Saccharomyces cerevisiae S288C: one gene and its partners. The gene in region 1 interacts genetically with each later gene. Each region holds a gene or a part of one and is shown on either strand. Other genes may lie near its edges. The genes, in order: CTK1, MSS4, CLN3 and HOS2.

Region 1 (3,880 bases):
CGAAGAGGACACAAAGAATTTCAGGCAAGAGAATGAACGCTAACAAACAAAGGCAGTATAATCAGCTTGCACACGAACTTAGAGAGCTTCAAACGAATTTACAGGAAACGACAAAACAACTAGATATCATGTCGAAACAATGTAACGAAAACTTGGTAGGCCAATTGGGTAAGGTACATGGAAGTTGGTTGATAGGTAGTTACATTTATTATATGGAGCAGATGCTTGGAAAAACGCAATAAGGCATAAGAGGTAAGACAGTTAGTGGCCAGGCTAATTTATAAGATGTGAAATGAGATGGTGTTGGTACGATGGACAAACAGCTTGCATAAAAAGACAACCAAGTTACGTATAGTGAACGAGTGAAAATAGGCAAACCTTCTATTCACTAGGCCGCTTCACATGAAATTAGATGTTCGTATCATATTTACGGGTATCGCGTAATAAATAAGTTATTAATCTATTTTTTGTGTCTACTTATTTCAATTGGCTATATATCCTTATTTATCATCATCGTCATTATTATTATTATTATTATTATTACTATTACCATTACCCTTATTGTTTGTGTTGGTGGATAGTATGTTAGGACGCTTTTGTTTTCTTGCCAATTTGACTTCATATTCGTGGCAACTTACCAATCCATCAAGAACTAAAGGTTCAGGCTTTGGTTCTTCCTTGAAATAGTCGCTTTGTAAAGCTTCGGTTGCACTAAACCTTTTCGTCTGATCATAACATAACAAATTAATCGCCAATTGCAGACATTTTGAAGATGGTAAAACGCTTTTAAATTTCTCAGAAAAATTGTTGACATACTTGGTAGTTTGCTGTGGCATAATCATAAAAAACCACGGCATATCGTAAAGCGTTGGCCAGCTATTTATTGTAGGAGTTCCCATAATCTTGAAAATTGATTCTATTTGCTCTAATTCATTAGAGCCCTGGAAAATTGCAGTTTTATTGAATAATTCCACCAGGAGGCAGCCACAACCCCACATGTCAACTTCTGTTCCATAATTTGTAGTTCCCAACAATAGTTCTGGTGGTCTGTACCACAACGTAATGACACGGTTAGTGTAATCAGCTCGCGAATTCATTTTCCTCGCTAGTCCAAAATCTGTTATTTTTAGATTCCCCTGGTTATCGATTAAGATGTTTGAGCCTTTAACATCACGGTGTAAAATCTTATTATCATGTAAATATTCCATTCCTAATAGCAATTGTTTGAAGAGATGTTTGCATTGTGAGTGAGAAATTTGGACTTCCTTATTTAATAGTAATCCACTTAAGTCGTTGTCAGCATATTCAAATATCATATATACAGTTTTTTGAGATTCGACCATTATTTCTTTTATAGTAGAGACATTTGGATGATCAAAACTTTGTAGTAGTTTAATCTCTCGTATAGAGGTTATGGGAAAGCCTTCCCTCTCTCCTTGTAATCTCAATTTTTTCAGCGCTACTAACTTCTCTGTATTCGTGTTTTTTGCCTTGTAAACTTTACCATATGTTCCTTCTCCGACTTGCATTATCCTTAGGTAAACTGACGTGCTCCTTTGCTGCGTTAGAACCGAAACTGGAACTTTCTTAGCTATGACAGACCGCCCTTCCTGGCCTTTGTGGTTATAGTATTTTGAAGCATGATAGCCATTTTTTATATCATTACTAGTATTGGATGAATTATTATATCTTGATTTCTCAACAGATTTGGGCCCCTTTGGCAAATGAGACAGGAATTCAGCCTTTGTTTCATCCCTTTTTATGCTTTTAGGCCTATTTTCATACGACGTATTATTATTGTTGTATCTTGAACCTTGATATCTGGAACTTGTTTGAAAGGATGTATCGTTATAGCGAGATAAATTATTGTTACCACGACTTTTCGTGTGGCCTGGTTGGTCATTTGAATTTACCCTATGAGAAGATATATTGTCCATATTCGACTGGTAACCACTATCAGTCCGTATTCTCTTTGGTGGCGGTGGTCTCGCTAGGGACTGAGGATTTGGCGACCTCTTTCCGAACAAGGGTCTCTTATTATTTCTGCTATAACTCTTTGAATAAGTATTGCCATTATTGTAGGACATTGTTACCAAATAATTTATGCTGTATGGTCCCTGTGTTATTCTAGTGCAAAGAATAGTGCTAGAATTAGTTTTATTTACAAATAGGTTTTTTAAAAGTACTAATGGAACAAAAAAAGTCCAAAAAAAGCTAATATGCACAGTGAATAAATACACTGATAAGACCTTCTCTTTTTTTCTAAATGTATTTTACTGTCTGAACCGTCCATTTTTTAACATCTCATTGGCAATCAATATGTAAAGTTACCTTATTATGTAGAGGTTTTTCTCTTCCATCAGTGAAAAAAAAAAACGAAAAAAATAGAGCTTCACGTGACCTTTTTAAGCCAAATAAGAATAATGCTAAAAGGAAGTTAATTACTTTACTAATTTCCAGTATCCACAAGCATGAGGATATTAAGGACTTCTTATGAAATCCATTTATTGTGTATAAAACGTACGTATATTCTTTCTTTAGTTCATCGATTTTTAGATTAGCGCTAATATTATTATCCTAGACAAAAAATAGTTTAATAGGGTTTCTCTCGCATTCTTTTCATTCTTTATTTAGAGCATCCAGCGCAGTTGTCGAAGAGTTGGCATCTAGTTGTCGTAAATCTTTGGATGATTCCAGATAGGCACTTAACCGTCTTTGCTGCTCCTTATGGATTTGATCTTCTGTATCATCCTGGTGCTCATTTTCGTTGTCCTCGTCTATGGCACTAGTAGAAAACACTCGTCTTAAGAACCTTGAATTGTCAGCATTGTGGACCTCATCCGCTTCATCAGCTTGTACAGACAACGGAGAACGGTCTGCCGAGTGAGTTCTATAACTGAGACCATGCGTTGGATGAGTTGTCTTCCATGTCGTGCTTGGTAATTCCTCAACCAGACTTGCTGATGGTAGTAACTGGTTAGTCTTCACTGAAACATTACCAGGGTTAAAAAATTCAATAAACCTCAAGACTTTAGCAATGACCAAGGTATCGGCATCTTTGCCCCAAATCAAATCCAGGTGTTCATAATTGTCAACTTTAACATCAAAGACGGAGTTGAAGGGTAGATTTTTTTTCATCACATCAATATCAACTAAAGAATCTATGCCACCATAAATTAAAAGAATGGGAATCTTGATATTTGTTCTAGTAGGAAAATTAGCAATTTGGTAAGGCCTAGTTAAGGAATTTAGCATGTTATCAGACTCTTCAAACATTTGAAATTTCTGAGATCTTAATATTTGGAACCAGTGAACAATGGATTTTACACTGGTCGTTGAATAAAGTTTTGCGTAAGAAGCAATCTTTTGTCTCGGTAGAATGTTAAACGACTTCCAATTGAACAGTATCTTGTTTGCGATATCGATACACAAATTGAAAAGTGTTGGATGTAAAGTTCTTTGCCAAATGACAGCTGAAGGTAACACAATTTTCCTACCAAAGAAAAGATACATAAAGCCGGGCGATGATTTGGCCAAGGTATCGACAATTCTGTTGTGCAACCCCTTTGGAGTCATAGCGGGTGCTATGGCTATAAAATGGGAGACTTTTCGATTCAATTTTTCACTCAACGAAAATGCAGCAAACATTTGAGCAGAGCCTTGAGAGAATCCGATGCAGATGACCTTGTCCACTTTTGTTATATCTAAGATGAATTCAATTGAGTTTGGAATGTCAAAGAACGCAAATTCGTCGATAGAAAAATCCCAAAACTTGTTCGATTTTGGTGGTTTGTTCAAGTGGGCAGTTGAATATTTATTACCTCTATTATTTCCCATCCAGACGTCGTAACCTAAATCATGCAATACAAACGGTAAGTTT
Region 2 (4,568 bases), on another chromosome or scaffold:
CTCATTAGTTTTCGCTCTTTTGACTTGTTTCGAAGACGGATAGTCTCCCTTTGCCTTTCTTTATTTTTATTCTGGCACTTTAGTTTATATAACGTTGCAGTTCACCATCGGCCTCGAGCAAAAAAAAACAGTAGAAGGCAAAGCAAAGTAAACAGGCAGTAAGCGCAAAGAAAAGTTCGTACAGATATAATCGAATTTTCTCGTTTTTTGACATTTCGTATCCTCTTAAAGCCGCTTAGCCACACACTGCGGAAGAGATATGGCATGGTTCCGAACAATTAGGTTTGGAATAGGGTCTCGCTGAATTATTAGCTAGCGTGGCTTATGCAAGCCTGACGTGGCCTGAGAATATGGAAAAAAGAAAAAAAAAAAGCAAAAATAGAAAATAAGAAAAGGATTGAAATTAAAATATTAAAATTAAAGGGAAAAGAATAGATTTATATAACTTGAATTAAATTAAATCAAAGTAGATTAGACTGAGTACATAGACGATAGGTTATTTACCTGTGCCCTACTCAGTCTTTATAATTTTTCTGGTTAGGGTCGTCTCTATACGACGATTGAGTTTTTTTCTGGGGCAGAGGATCTACAGAATCTTCTATGAATTCGTAAAACCTATTGGCGTAGTCTCTTGGAGGTATGGCACTCACCAACTTGGTATCATGGCGTAGACTTCTCCAAAACGTTTCTAATTTCTTCATAACTGAGTAATTAGTCAAGAAATCGATTATCCCCACGTAATAAATCAAATCCACATCATTGTTGAATTGATCAGATGCTCGAATTCCACCTTCAAACTCTCTAAAAAAATGTCGTACTACCGTTCCGGTACCGGTTCTTATGGGTCCTTGAGTCTGTGGTTGCTCCTCAATAGATGCCGTATCCGCCAATTGTAAGTCGTCTTCTTTAGCTTTATTGATGTCATGAATGCCAATTAACAAGGAATAGTCCATTGTATTCAATTTAGCAAGCAATTCCACATCTTTTTTCAGCTGTGTCAAAAAAGTCTTCTTCTTCAATGGACCGAATTTAATTTTCTGACCTTCTTCAAGCCAATTTAAATCTTTCATCACAGGCCTATATGATCTATCTTTCGCCAACCTTTCTTTATCCAAATTGGTAAAACGGCCCCATGTGGAACCTTTTAAATCATAAGTAATGTGAATGTCTAAGTGTGGTGGAAATAAGTTATTCATGACTAGGAAGTAAATTTTCCGATGCTTAATTTTATTTTGAAACGATATAGGCATTTTCACTCTATGCAAACCATAAAATTGACAAATCAAAGTGTTTGGATTGTCTCTTACATGGTTATAGTATTCTTGTATGTGCTTTCTCAGATGAATATGCTCAGAATGATGTATGGTCTTGATAATATATTTGTAATCTCTCGAATAATAAAAAAATGAACCACTTTTACCTGGCGAGTTCAACTCACTCAAAATGTACTTGGAAGTTAACGAAACCAAATAATCAGCAGGGTCTAAGCCGAATAATGCACGAAGTTCCCTAAAGACTTCGGGACAGTAGTCCTTAAACTTAAATGCATACTGAGAAGAAGGGGTCAATTCATTTCCGTGATAATCAAAGGCAAGCTTCTTCGTAAATCTAAAGTCTGCCGGAGTTAAAGGTTTCATTATGCCAGAACAACGTGACACTGCGACACGAATACCAGTTAGCATGTTATAAGCTATAATAAAGTTGACATGGCCTTCACTGACTTTATTACCGATCAAAACACGATCGTCATCCACCAAAAATGTTTTTCTTTTCCTTTTCATTTCTCTTTTATGCAGCAAAGATTGTCTCATCTTCTTAATTTCTGCCGTTGCAGACTCTGATCTTTTCAGACCCGTAGCAGCGGTAGTAGTAGTAGTATTATTATTAACAGCAGCAGCATTAGCAGCGTGATTATGGTTGGTGCCACGACTGTGTTGATAGTAGTGGTCATTCTCTGGCGGCAAAGAAGTGGTTGATTTGGATATCATATGATATTGCTTTGACTTTTGAGAAGGTTGTGGAAGTGGGTGAAGAGGCAAAGAAGTCATTGAGTGACTAATTTTAGTAGCAGAATTTGGTTTCATGCTGGTATCTCCATTGGCCAATTTTATTACATCTGAATCATCCATAGGTAGAATTTGAGAATGCTTGGAAGCGTGAAAGGGAATATTGGGCAGGTTTGAATCCTGAGTATTTCTTCTTTGCTTAATTGTCGTGGAAGTTGCTGTTACTGCCGATATTCTGGAAGATCGCCTCGAAACGCGCTTGTTTAGTAAAATATGATCGTCATTTAAGTCTTGTATATACGAATCTGTGTGAACAAGACTGGAATTGTCCAAATCCAAACAATTATTCGAGTTTAACGAGGGTGTTGTTATTTTCTTCGACTCCTTACCTTCGGGAAAACTATATTTCTGCATTTCCTTGTTACTAGTGCTATTTGGTCGGGGAGAAGTTATGGTGTTTGGATGATCATCATCCGTATTATTATTGCTGTTGTCATGCAAAGGATCAATTGATATTGAGTAGTTTCTCTTCACCAGCCTCGAATTATTTATTGTTGGGTTTAACTCTTCAATAGAGGTCGGAGTGGAAGACTCACCATCTGACAAGCGAGGACTTTCCATGTTTGACTCCGAATTCGATGAAGAATGGTAGCTAGTGTGATTATTGCGATCCTTTTTTATTCGATGGTTCGAATCCGGATTCGAATTCGAATTCGGCACCGAACGGTCTTGATGTCGCTCAATTATTGCAGAGTGCAATAGCGATGGTTCCTGTTCTGTTTTGCGACTGGTGGATGTTGTCAGATGTAGCGGTACAACTGAAGGAGGTTGTGATCGCAAGACTGACATGAGTTAGAAACTATTGATAGGGAAAAGCGATATAGGGCAACTGTCTCGGGGGGTGTAAACAGGTTTCGTACTCTCTTGCTTATGAATGTGCTACTTCTTGTTCCTATTTTTTGTTTCTGTCCTTGTTTTTTCTTTGCTTGTCCCTCCGTATTTGCTTCTTTGTTGTCACGCTTTTGTTATTTCCACCTCTATCTTTCCTCTCTGTCCCATTCCCCATCCATTCCTTTCTTTTTTTTTTTAACCTGTGTTTTGTTTTCCCAGAATGGGCGGCACGTTCTTATGTCCGTAAAAACGGATATACAAAAGCGACACGTCGTCTGAGGTGACACTCCACTCAACCCCACTTGCCCAAAACATGCATTGCTACAAGTAGTAGAGCGCAGTTTTTAAAGTCCATTGGTTGCACACGAAATCACGAGAATAATCACGAGAATAGAATGCACGTTGGATTTCGGGCATCCTATAATTGCCAAGACTGCGCTACTTCTCTTCTGTTTCGGTCCGGGTGACACGTCCGCCGTGCTTCAAGGCGCCTTTTCACCAATGCCAGGCGGAAACTGCCGCCGTCAAAAAGAAAAATGAAAAGAACATAGAGGACAAGGACAAGAGACCAGTGATCGTAAGAAGCGCCCACCTTCGCACAGCGCACAGGAACTAGGACACTACCGCACTCAAACCATTTGCATGGACCTTAACTCACGATGCTAGACAAGGCGCGCTCTCAAAGCAAACACATGGACGAATCTAATGCGGCTGCCTCTCTGCTTTCGATGGAAACAACCGCCAACAATCATCACTATTTGCACAATAAAACATCTCGTGCCACGCTGATGAATAGCAGCCAAGACGGCAAAAAACATGCAGAAGATGAAGTTAGTGATGGAGCTAACTCCCGCCATCCTACAATTTCCAGTGCTAGCATCGAATCTCTCAAGACAACCTACGATGAAAACCCTTTGCTTTCTATTATGAAATCGACATGTGCGCCCAACAACACTCCCGTGCATACTCCGTCTGGTTCGCCGAGTTTGAAAGTCCAAAGTGGCGGAGATATCAAAGACGATCCTAAGGAAAACGATACTACTACTACGACCAATACTACACTTCAAGATCGCCGTGACAGCGATAACGCTGTGCATGCTGCCGCCAGCCCACTCGCGCCTTCCAATACACCTTCGGATCCTAAGTCATTGTGCAATGGCCATGTCGCACAGGCTACAGACCCACAAATTTCCGGTGCTATTCAGCCGCAGTATACTGCAACCAACGAGGATGTTTTCCCTTACTCCTCCACCTCCACTAATAGTAACACTGCCACTACTACTATCGTCGCCGGCGCCAAAAAAAAAATACATTTGCCGCCACCACAAGCTCCAGCGGTTTCTTCCCCCGGTACCACCGCAGCAGGCTCGGGCGCGGGCACGGGCTCGGGCATCCGTTCCCGCACAGGATCGGATTTGCCGCTCATCATTACCAGCGCCAACAAGAACAACGGTAAGACTACCAATTCGCCTATGTCGATACTGAGCAGAAACAACAGTACCAACAACAACGACAATAATTCGATACAAAGCTCAGATTCGAGAGAATCCTCTAATAACAATGAGATTGGCGGGTATTTGCGCGGCGGAACTAAGCGCGGCGGCAGTCCATCTAACGACTCTCAGGTCCAGCATAATGTGCATGATGACCAATGTGCCGTGGGCGTGGCGC
Region 3 (4,297 bases), on another chromosome or scaffold:
TCTAAAATTTCGAATACACATAATAACAACATTTCACCAATCACCAAGATCAAATATCAGGACGAAGATGGGGATTTTGTTGTGTTAGGTAGCGATGAAGATTGGAATGTTGCTAAAGAAATGTTGGCGGAAAACAATGAGAAATTCTTGAACATTCGTCTGTATTGATAAATAAAACTAGTATACAGCAAATACTAAATAATTCAAGAAAAAAACATTAGATAGAGAGGGGCAGATGTTCAAGCTATACCCATTATATTGATCCACACTTAGTATTAAGATACGTCTGTGAAGGATGAAAAAAAATGTATAATGTGACTAGAGGAAGTAAGGAGAAAAAACGATAGTAATCGTATTTTAGGTTGTGCGTTTTTATAATTTTTTTTTTTTTGTAATTCTATGCAAATGTAATATAAGTATATTTAAAGAAATAATGAGTCCTGTGAAAACAAAAAGAAAAAAAGATCATTAATGTATGTTAACGTATTTGCTTTGCAAATTTTAATTTATTTGTTGTTAAATGCATTTTTTTTTTGTCGTTTCAGCGAGTTTTCTTGAGGTTGCTACTATCATTAAAATCACAATCCACAGAGGAAGTTGATCTCTTTTTCAGTTGGGTGGGGGCAGAGCATGGGTGAGCAGTGGCCATGGGTCTAACAGGAAATAATCTTTTTGAACGCACAGATAAATTTTGTAATAATTTTCTATTTGACATTAGAGATGGGGTGGTGGGAGTTAGTGGGCTTGGCCAAAAGATGCTTGAATTTTGTGGGATGCTCAGTGACCTTTTAAAAGAATTTTGGGTAGAAGAGAACGAACCTGAATGTGAATGGTGTGATGCAGAGTCTGGGGTCGTCATTGAACTTGAAGTCTTGTAAGGGGAATTGAATGGAGATGGAGAGGATGAAGATGAGGTTGGAGTGAAGGCAAATGGTGGAGAAATGCTATCTTTGGTCAACCTTCTTAAATGAGTGTGATCCGAGAAATAGTCTGTGGCCGCAGATGAAACCGTAGCGCTCTTTGGAGTAGTAGCATTTGAGTAAACACAAGTCAATGAATCGCTGTCAAAGGACTGAGCAAAGATAGTATTGTACATGGTTTCCAATTCTTGTGAACGGTAGAATTCTTCCAGTTTCAATTGAATACAATAGTTTTGTAATGCGTCTAAGAGAGATTTTGCTAAAGATGTCTTATTGCTATTCAAATATTTTGATTTGAAACTGGAGGGGAAAGAATTTTGGTCCATTGCTATATCCAATAAAGTATTAGAGATTTCTGACAATTTAATATCTAGGTCTTGGCAGTTTTCCTCCAAAGCCAGATTGATATTTTCCCAAAGGTTTGAATTATAGTAGTTCAAAGATAATTTGATGAGGTTAATTGCACCCAGCGCAATTAGTGAACGATCATATTTAAATGATAATTCGAGATTGAAGGAAGCTAACTCGCACAACATAATGGCACCCAATTTGATCTCGTTGATGTTCAAAGAGGGGCCTTGAGAAGAGGACGATTTATTAATAGCAGTACCAGCAGCGTTATTTAATAAGGCCAGTTTCTGTTGAATGAAAGCTTCCAAAGGGGCAGAAAGGACAACGCCAGGCGATAACGGGGACGTAGATTGGAACAAGAAGATGTCGATGTAGGAGTCGAATGTTGCCGACTGACAGATGGACCAATCGAGTGATTTGAAAAGATGCATTTCCATAGTCGTGAATTGCTTTATAGAATATTGATTGCAACACAAGTTTTGCAAGACTTTCAAAGTGGCCATTCTATTCTTGGAGTCCCAAAATTTGGACGAAATCCAAAGCGCGGTCAAGGACAAGAGCTGGTAGTTGTAACTCTTGATAATGAACCGCGAGGAATACTTGTCCAAGATAGTGAAAGTAAGGAACAAAGTCGAGGTCGATAGATTGAGTCTTGTGTGACAGTACATGATGAAGTCAAAGATCAAGAAACGCATCTTCGGATTAACTTGTGGCTGAGAGTTGAAGTTAGTCAGGTTGTACAGCGGCCTTTCTGTGTGGGAAAGACGGAAATAGTGGTCCAATTGATCATTATTGTATTCGCTGATCGCTGAGTGATGTGCTTGCAATTCTCTTTTAACGAGATTAGGGTTTTTAGACTTTGCACTAGCAATGGCCCGCCTCTTTTGCAAGAGCAAGGGCAAATTAGGACATGAGGCAGCGCTGACAGAGGCGGCAGTGGCGGTGGAAGTGCCACTAGCGGTAGCATACCTTGCATTAGCGTATCTAATTATGGTATCCTTCAATATGGCCATCGTACAGAAAGCGTATCAAATCAGTGTCTTGAACGAGAGTAAAAGGGAGATGCAATGGAATGTAAGAAATGCTATGGGTCAGAAAAGAAATGCAGAGGAGTTAAACCGAATGAGGAAATGCAATGGATACGTTAAATTGGAGATGTGAGATTGCGACTGGGACTCGGATGGATGCTTGCTTTTGGATGCTAGTACAGAGAAAAAAGAGGGAGAAAAGAAAAGAGAAATAGAAAAAGGTTGGTTTAAGTCGGCAGAGGAGACTACTCGGGCAATTCGTTTCCTAATGGGTATAGTCCTCTTTCCTCAGAAATCCATTTGACTGGCAGACTCAGTAGTAGAAGAAAAAATCAAGAAAGAAATTGTGTGAAAGTATACTACACAAGAAAATGTTTAAGAAGAAGATTAAAAGCTCGAGGAAAGTACAGATATACAAATTATAAATAGGTAGGAGGAAGAAAAAAAAAAGATGAGGGCAAAAACCCAAGGCCAAATATGGAAATGTGGCAGAGGGACACACTAATCCGATAGTAAATTTATGTAACTTGATCATTACAGTGAGAGCAGGCTTGGTAATTTCTTTTTCTTGCCTGATAATTTTTCACTTTTTCTTTTTTTTTTTCTTGAAAGTTCACAATTTAGGGTTTGAGCACAGCGTTTGGTTGCGACACTTCCCCAGAAGGAAAACCGGCCTCTTTGGCTGGGGAGGGAAGAAGGGGGAGGAGAGCTCAGAAAGCCCTATCGCGATATGAGGGACCGATCTGTATCAGCATACTTTCGGTATCATCACGGTCGCAGGATAGAGATAGTGAATGAGTTAGCTGTTTTACAGGCCAAGCGTTCAAACGAGACGAATGGCGACATTTGCCCGTCAAGAAAACCCGCCGAGTTTTTTCCTAAACGGGTAAAACAGCCATGCACCGCAGCACGTCGACGAGGTGATATTTCCAATTTGGGAAATTTCCCAAATCAGTAATGTAGCCTCTACGGGTGTCTCTGTCAGCCCCGTGGTCGCCAGCACAGAATGTATCGTACCCCTGAAGGTAGTTTTTTACCGCCGTGGCACACGATAAAGGTGCACCTTGTGATAATAAGGTGGAAAAATATATATGAAAAAGTGAAATTGATTGTGGCTGCACTAGGACATCATTATTTCTTACTTGGCTATTTACACGTACTTACGCTGGCTGTATATCATTTAAGGGGCGGAGGACGAAGAGGACGGACCCGAGATCATCCGGTCCAAGAAACGGGTCATCCGGTCCTTAGCATTGTCTAGACTATCTAGGGCAGGACGGACATCCACGTGGAAAGTAGGCATTCCGTTTTCGTCGTCGGGCCCTCCGTAGAAATCCAAGACGTATCTAACTTCCTTGAAGGTTGGAGGTTGTTGTTCCGCTTTGCGCTCGCCTCGGAGTACAATCCAGTCGTGCCTGTCGAATGGTAGTTCTTGGCTAAAATGGGACGGAAACAGTAGGCCGCACAGGTGCATCCAGCGAGCACGAGGGCTCAATACGCCCGGTTTCCCCATGAATTTCAGCAACTTAGGCTGCACGTGGCTTTCATCTGTGTGCGGTTTTTCCCATTCGAGCACTTCCTGCCAGCACCCTTCATTTAGAAAGTTGTGGACCTGCACCATGGACTCCACTGCATCTTCGGCGACTTCGCCGCTACCGCCAATCTTGCCCTTTCTAACCATAGCATTGTACATCTGTTGTGGAGAAGGATACTCCCAGAACTCGTTACTGTCTGGACTCTTGGGGATGCTGGAGATGGTCCGATCAACGGGCAAGTCCATCTTTTGGCCAGGCTGTTTGGATGCTGCCAACTCCGGCATATTGTTCAGCGGGTTTATTCTATCGTTATCTCCCTGCATAACGGGGCACTCAGAGGATGGTGGCGACGACGACGACGACTCGTGCATGACTGGGCACCCTGACATGGATGATACTGCTGCCCCACCAATATCTTTGCCCGTAGTTTTTTGATCTGCCCAAAACCAACCCATTTTTTGTA
Region 4 (3,944 bases), on another chromosome or scaffold:
ACACCAAATAACTGTCGACTTTAAATAGCGTCTCAGAAATAACTTATAAGAGAGGTTTATTATTAGAACTATCAATAAAATTAGAGCAATAATTTTAAACGGTTTGATACAAGTTATCTCTTTATTAGACATAATTGTCCAGATGTATTACATGAACTGAGTGACTTGCTCTAATGTTGTAGACACTGATGTCCGGTTTAATTAAGAAAGATTTTGGAAGTTTCACGATATCGATAATGCTGCGGGAGAAGCTTTCAAATTATAAGAAAAGGCTTTTTTTTGTTGTTTTCAGAGTAGTTTGGTGACTTGTCCGTTTCAGAAGTGTCTCGAATACGGAGTGCACCTTCCAAAAATGTTTCTGACGGCATCGAAGAGCCGAACTCTTATACAATACATGTCATTTTTAACAATGATGCAAATAACTTTTAAGGCCTTAACACTCTACATAATATGCTAAAAACATTAAAAAAAAAAAAAGGAAAATAAAAAAAAAAAAAAAAAAAAAAACGGGAGATTAACCGAATAGCAAACTCTTAAACTATGAAAAGGCAATCAATCCACTGTTTTCTTTTTCCATTTCTTCTAGCCTATTTGAACTGTCTGCTTCTGTTTCTTCATTCATTTCTTGAATGATTTTATCCTCTTCTTCTGTCAGGGCACTTATATCTTGTGTCGGTATGCATTCAGCATCCATTCTGACACTTGGTGCTCCTTGCAAGTATCTGATATTTTCTAGACATCGTATTCTAATGTCTTCCAGTAGTTTTTTACTGTTTTTGTTTTCGTATAAGTCATCTAACATAGGATAAAGTGAATAATCCGGCCCGAATGAGTCCCGGAATGGGATATCTTCGGGGATGTCTTCTGGTAGCAAGACATCATTTAAAATTCCTGTCTCGTAGGTCCAAAGCCGTGATACATTTCTAGGTGTATAACCTCCACCGCCCACTACTAGCATTGGTAGACCAAATGATTTGACAAATTTTACGCATTCTCCATGTGCCTTTATATTTAAATTGAAGCATCCTAAGCGATCATGACCTAAGGAATCCGCACCGCATTGTTGGACAATAAGTGTTGGTTTGAAAGTCATTATTAGAGGATCTACAATTGACTTGAAAAGGTTTATATATGAGTCGTCATCTATGCCATCTTCTAGGGGTACATTTAATGCGAAATGTTTTCCTTTGTCGCAACCAATTTCTGTCAGATCACCAGTTCCTGGGAAAAATTCGCCATTATATTTATGAAAAGACAACGTGAAGACCCTATCTGTGGTGTAAAATGCCTCCTGGACACCATCGCCGTGATGTAAGTCGATATCGATATAAAGGATTCTTGGGTGATATCGTAATAAGTTCAAAATAGAAAGCACAATATCATTTACATAGCAAAACCCAGATGGACTATTCTTTTTTGCATGATGAAGACCACCAGACCAATTTATCGCTATGTCCGATTGATTGTTGATTAGTTTCCTGGTGGCGTCAAGGCTCGCACCAGTGTATAGTGTTGTATAATCATATAAATTTTGAAAAATAGGACAGTCGTCTCCAATGTTAAAATTTTCAAGTGTGCCTCTGGGCAGTTTGTTTGCATTTTCTGGTGAAACCTTCGAGAGAAAATTCACGTAGTCTTCCGAGTGAAATTGTAGTAATTCGTCTCTGGTAGCGCTTCTTGTTTCATAAAGGTCCATAATCTTGTGCAATCCATAAGAGGAAACTAGGTGATCCGTTAGCATTAACCGAAACGGCTTCATTGGATGCTTAACACCATAATGGTAATGTGAAACTTTGGAGTTAAAATGATACGATACCCTGGGAGAATAAGCAGAATTAAACTCAAATAATGGTTCGTTCTCCTTTGTTTTCACATCATAACTAAATGTTCCAGACATGTTGCGTGTTGTTATTCACTTGATACCTGATTTTAACGTACTTGAGTAATCTGGCGTCTTTTCTATAACTGTACATTGGCGACACACCTAAAACTGATTAGAATCGTTTCAAGATGCTTTCAGTTCAACATTTAGTAACATAGTAGGAATATCACGTTTAACGATGCCCCAAAGAACATCGAGAATCCTCTATATAGAGTATAAACAGGGCATTCTACATTGGTATAGAGGTGCCTTAGGTATATAGTGGTACCGGTCACATAAATTGACGGGAATATGCGTCTTTAGGCGGCTTTTGGCGTACAGTATTGTTCTTTCTTTCGTGCTTGTGAAACTTGTTATAAACAAAGAAAGAGAAAGATCTCCCCGGCATTCTGGAAGATCGGTAACCGCTGGAGCTATAGGAAAGGGAGATGGATAACAGTAAAGAAAACGGACCATATAAGTTAGCATTGGGGGTTTTCGAAAAAAATAAGAATTGGCATTCAGACTTGAATTCATAAAAGTTGTAAGCAGGCTATGATTAACGATAAACTAGTACATTTTCTGATCCAGAATTATGATGACATCCTAAGAGCACCGCTTTCTGGACAGCTCAAAGATGTGTATTCACTGTACATCAGTGGCGGATACGATGATGAGATGCAGAAGTTGAGAAACGATAAAGACGAGGTCTTACAGTTTGAACAGTTTTGGAATGATCTTCAGGATATTATATTTGCAACGCCGCAGTCCATTCAATTTGACCAGAATCTATTAGTGGCAGATAGGCCAGAAAAAATTGTTTACCTGGACGTTTTTTCCTTGAAAATTCTCTATAACAAGTTCCATGCCTTCTACTATACATTAAAATCGTCCAGTTCTTCATGTGAAGAAAAAGTGTCGAGTTTAACAACAAAACCGGAAGCTGATTCGGAAAAAGACCAACTGCTGGGTAGACTGCTTGGAGTCCTGAACTGGGACGTTAACGTCAGCAACCAGGGGTTACCACGTGAACAACTGAGCAATCGCTTACAAAATTTATTGAGGGAAAAACCATCATCTTTTCAGCTTGCTAAAGAAAGAGCCAAATACACGACCGAGGTCATTGAATACATCCCGATATGTAGTGACTATTCGCATGCATCTCTATTGTCCACCTCGGTGTACATTGTCAATAACAAAATCGTTTCTTTACAATGGTCCAAAATATCCGCATGTCAGGAAAATCACCCAGGATTAATTGAGTGCATTCAATCAAAAATTCACTTTATCCCTAATATCAAACCACAAACTGATATTTCGTTAGGAGATTGTTCCTATTTGGATACCTGTCATAAATTAAATACGTGTCGATACATTCATTACCTGCAATATATTCCGTCATGCTTGCAAGAGCGAGCTGATCGTGAAACTGCGAGTGAAAATAAAAGAATACGGTCAAACGTTTCCATTCCATTTTATACTCTGGGCAATTGCTCCGCACATTGTATCAAAAAGGCTTTACCTGCACAGTGGATCCGTTGCGATGTGCGGAAATTTGATTTTAGGGTTCTTGGAAAGTTTTCGGTAGTTATTGCAGATCCTGCATGGAATATCCATATGAACCTACCATACGGTACTTGCAACGATATTGAACTATTAGGTTTGCCTTTGCACGAACTACAAGATGAAGGTATTATTTTTCTTTGGGTGACGGGTAGAGCTATAGAATTGGGTAAAGAGTCTTTGAATAACTGGGGTTACAACGTGATAAATGAAGTTTCATGGATAAAGACAAACCAACTGGGTAGAACAATTGTTACAGGTCGTACGGGTCATTGGTTAAATCATTCTAAGGAGCATTTATTGGTGGGCTTAAAGGGTAATCCAAAGTGGATCAACAAACATATTGACGTCGATTTGATCGTATCAATGACCAGAGAGACTAGTAGAAAGCCTGATGAACTGTATGGTATAGCAGAACGGTTGGCAGGCACCCATGCCAGAAAACTAGAGATATTCGGAAGGGATCACAATACGCGGCCTGGCTGGTTTACCATCGGAAACCAGTTGACAGGAAATTGCA

What was found.
Region 2: mutations in CTK1 (region 1) and MSS4 together harm fitness less than expected from each alone (positive genetic interaction), as found in Saccharomyces cerevisiae (2 studies listed by BioGRID).
Region 3: mutations in CTK1 (region 1) and CLN3 together harm fitness more than expected from each alone (negative genetic interaction), as found in Saccharomyces cerevisiae (3 studies listed by BioGRID).
Region 4: mutations in CTK1 (region 1) and HOS2 together harm fitness more than expected from each alone (negative genetic interaction), as found in Saccharomyces cerevisiae (4 studies listed by BioGRID, with this or other methods).

The regions. Positions count from the first base shown.
Region 1 is NC_001143.9:181,165-185,044, reverse strand, and holds CTK1 (cyclin-dependent serine/threonine protein kinase CTK1), read right to left. Parts: upstream 2,088-3,880; coding exon 501-2,087; downstream 1-500. Other genes in the region: HSK3 (Hsk3p), read left to right, coding at 33-242; TGL1 (sterol esterase), read right to left, coding at 2,620-3,880. UniProt on the Saccharomyces cerevisiae protein: Catalytic subunit of the CTDK-I complex, which hyperphosphorylates the C-terminal heptapeptide repeat domain (CTD) of the largest RNA polymerase II subunit.
Region 2 is NC_001136.10:866,511-871,078, reverse strand, and holds MSS4 (1-phosphatidylinositol-4-phosphate 5-kinase), read right to left. Parts: upstream 2,856-4,568; coding exon 516-2,855; downstream 1-515. Other genes in the region: cysteine-rich palmitoylated domain-containing protein CPP2, read right to left, coding at 1-5; YDR209C (uncharacterized protein), read left to right, coding at 1-43; DNA-binding transcriptional regulator UME6, read left to right, coding at 3,557-4,568.
Region 3 is NC_001133.9:65,237-69,533, forward strand, and holds CLN3 (cyclin CLN3), read right to left. Parts: upstream 2,285-4,297; coding exon 542-2,284; downstream 1-541. Other genes in the region: Rho family guanine nucleotide exchange factor CDC24, read left to right, coding at 1-168; holocytochrome c synthase CYC3, read right to left, coding at 3,480-4,289. UniProt on the Saccharomyces cerevisiae protein: Essential for the control of the cell cycle at the G1/S (start) transition. CLN3 may be an upstream activator of the G1 cyclins which directly catalyze start.
Region 4 is NC_001139.9:139,830-143,773, forward strand, and holds HOS2 (histone deacetylase HOS2), read right to left. Parts: upstream 1,898-3,944; coding exon 539-1,897; downstream 1-538. Other genes in the region: YGL194C-A (uncharacterized protein), read right to left, coding at 1-132; YGL193C (uncharacterized protein), read right to left, coding at 2,087-2,398; IME4 (mRNA (N6-adenosine)-methyltransferase), read left to right, coding at 2,417-3,944.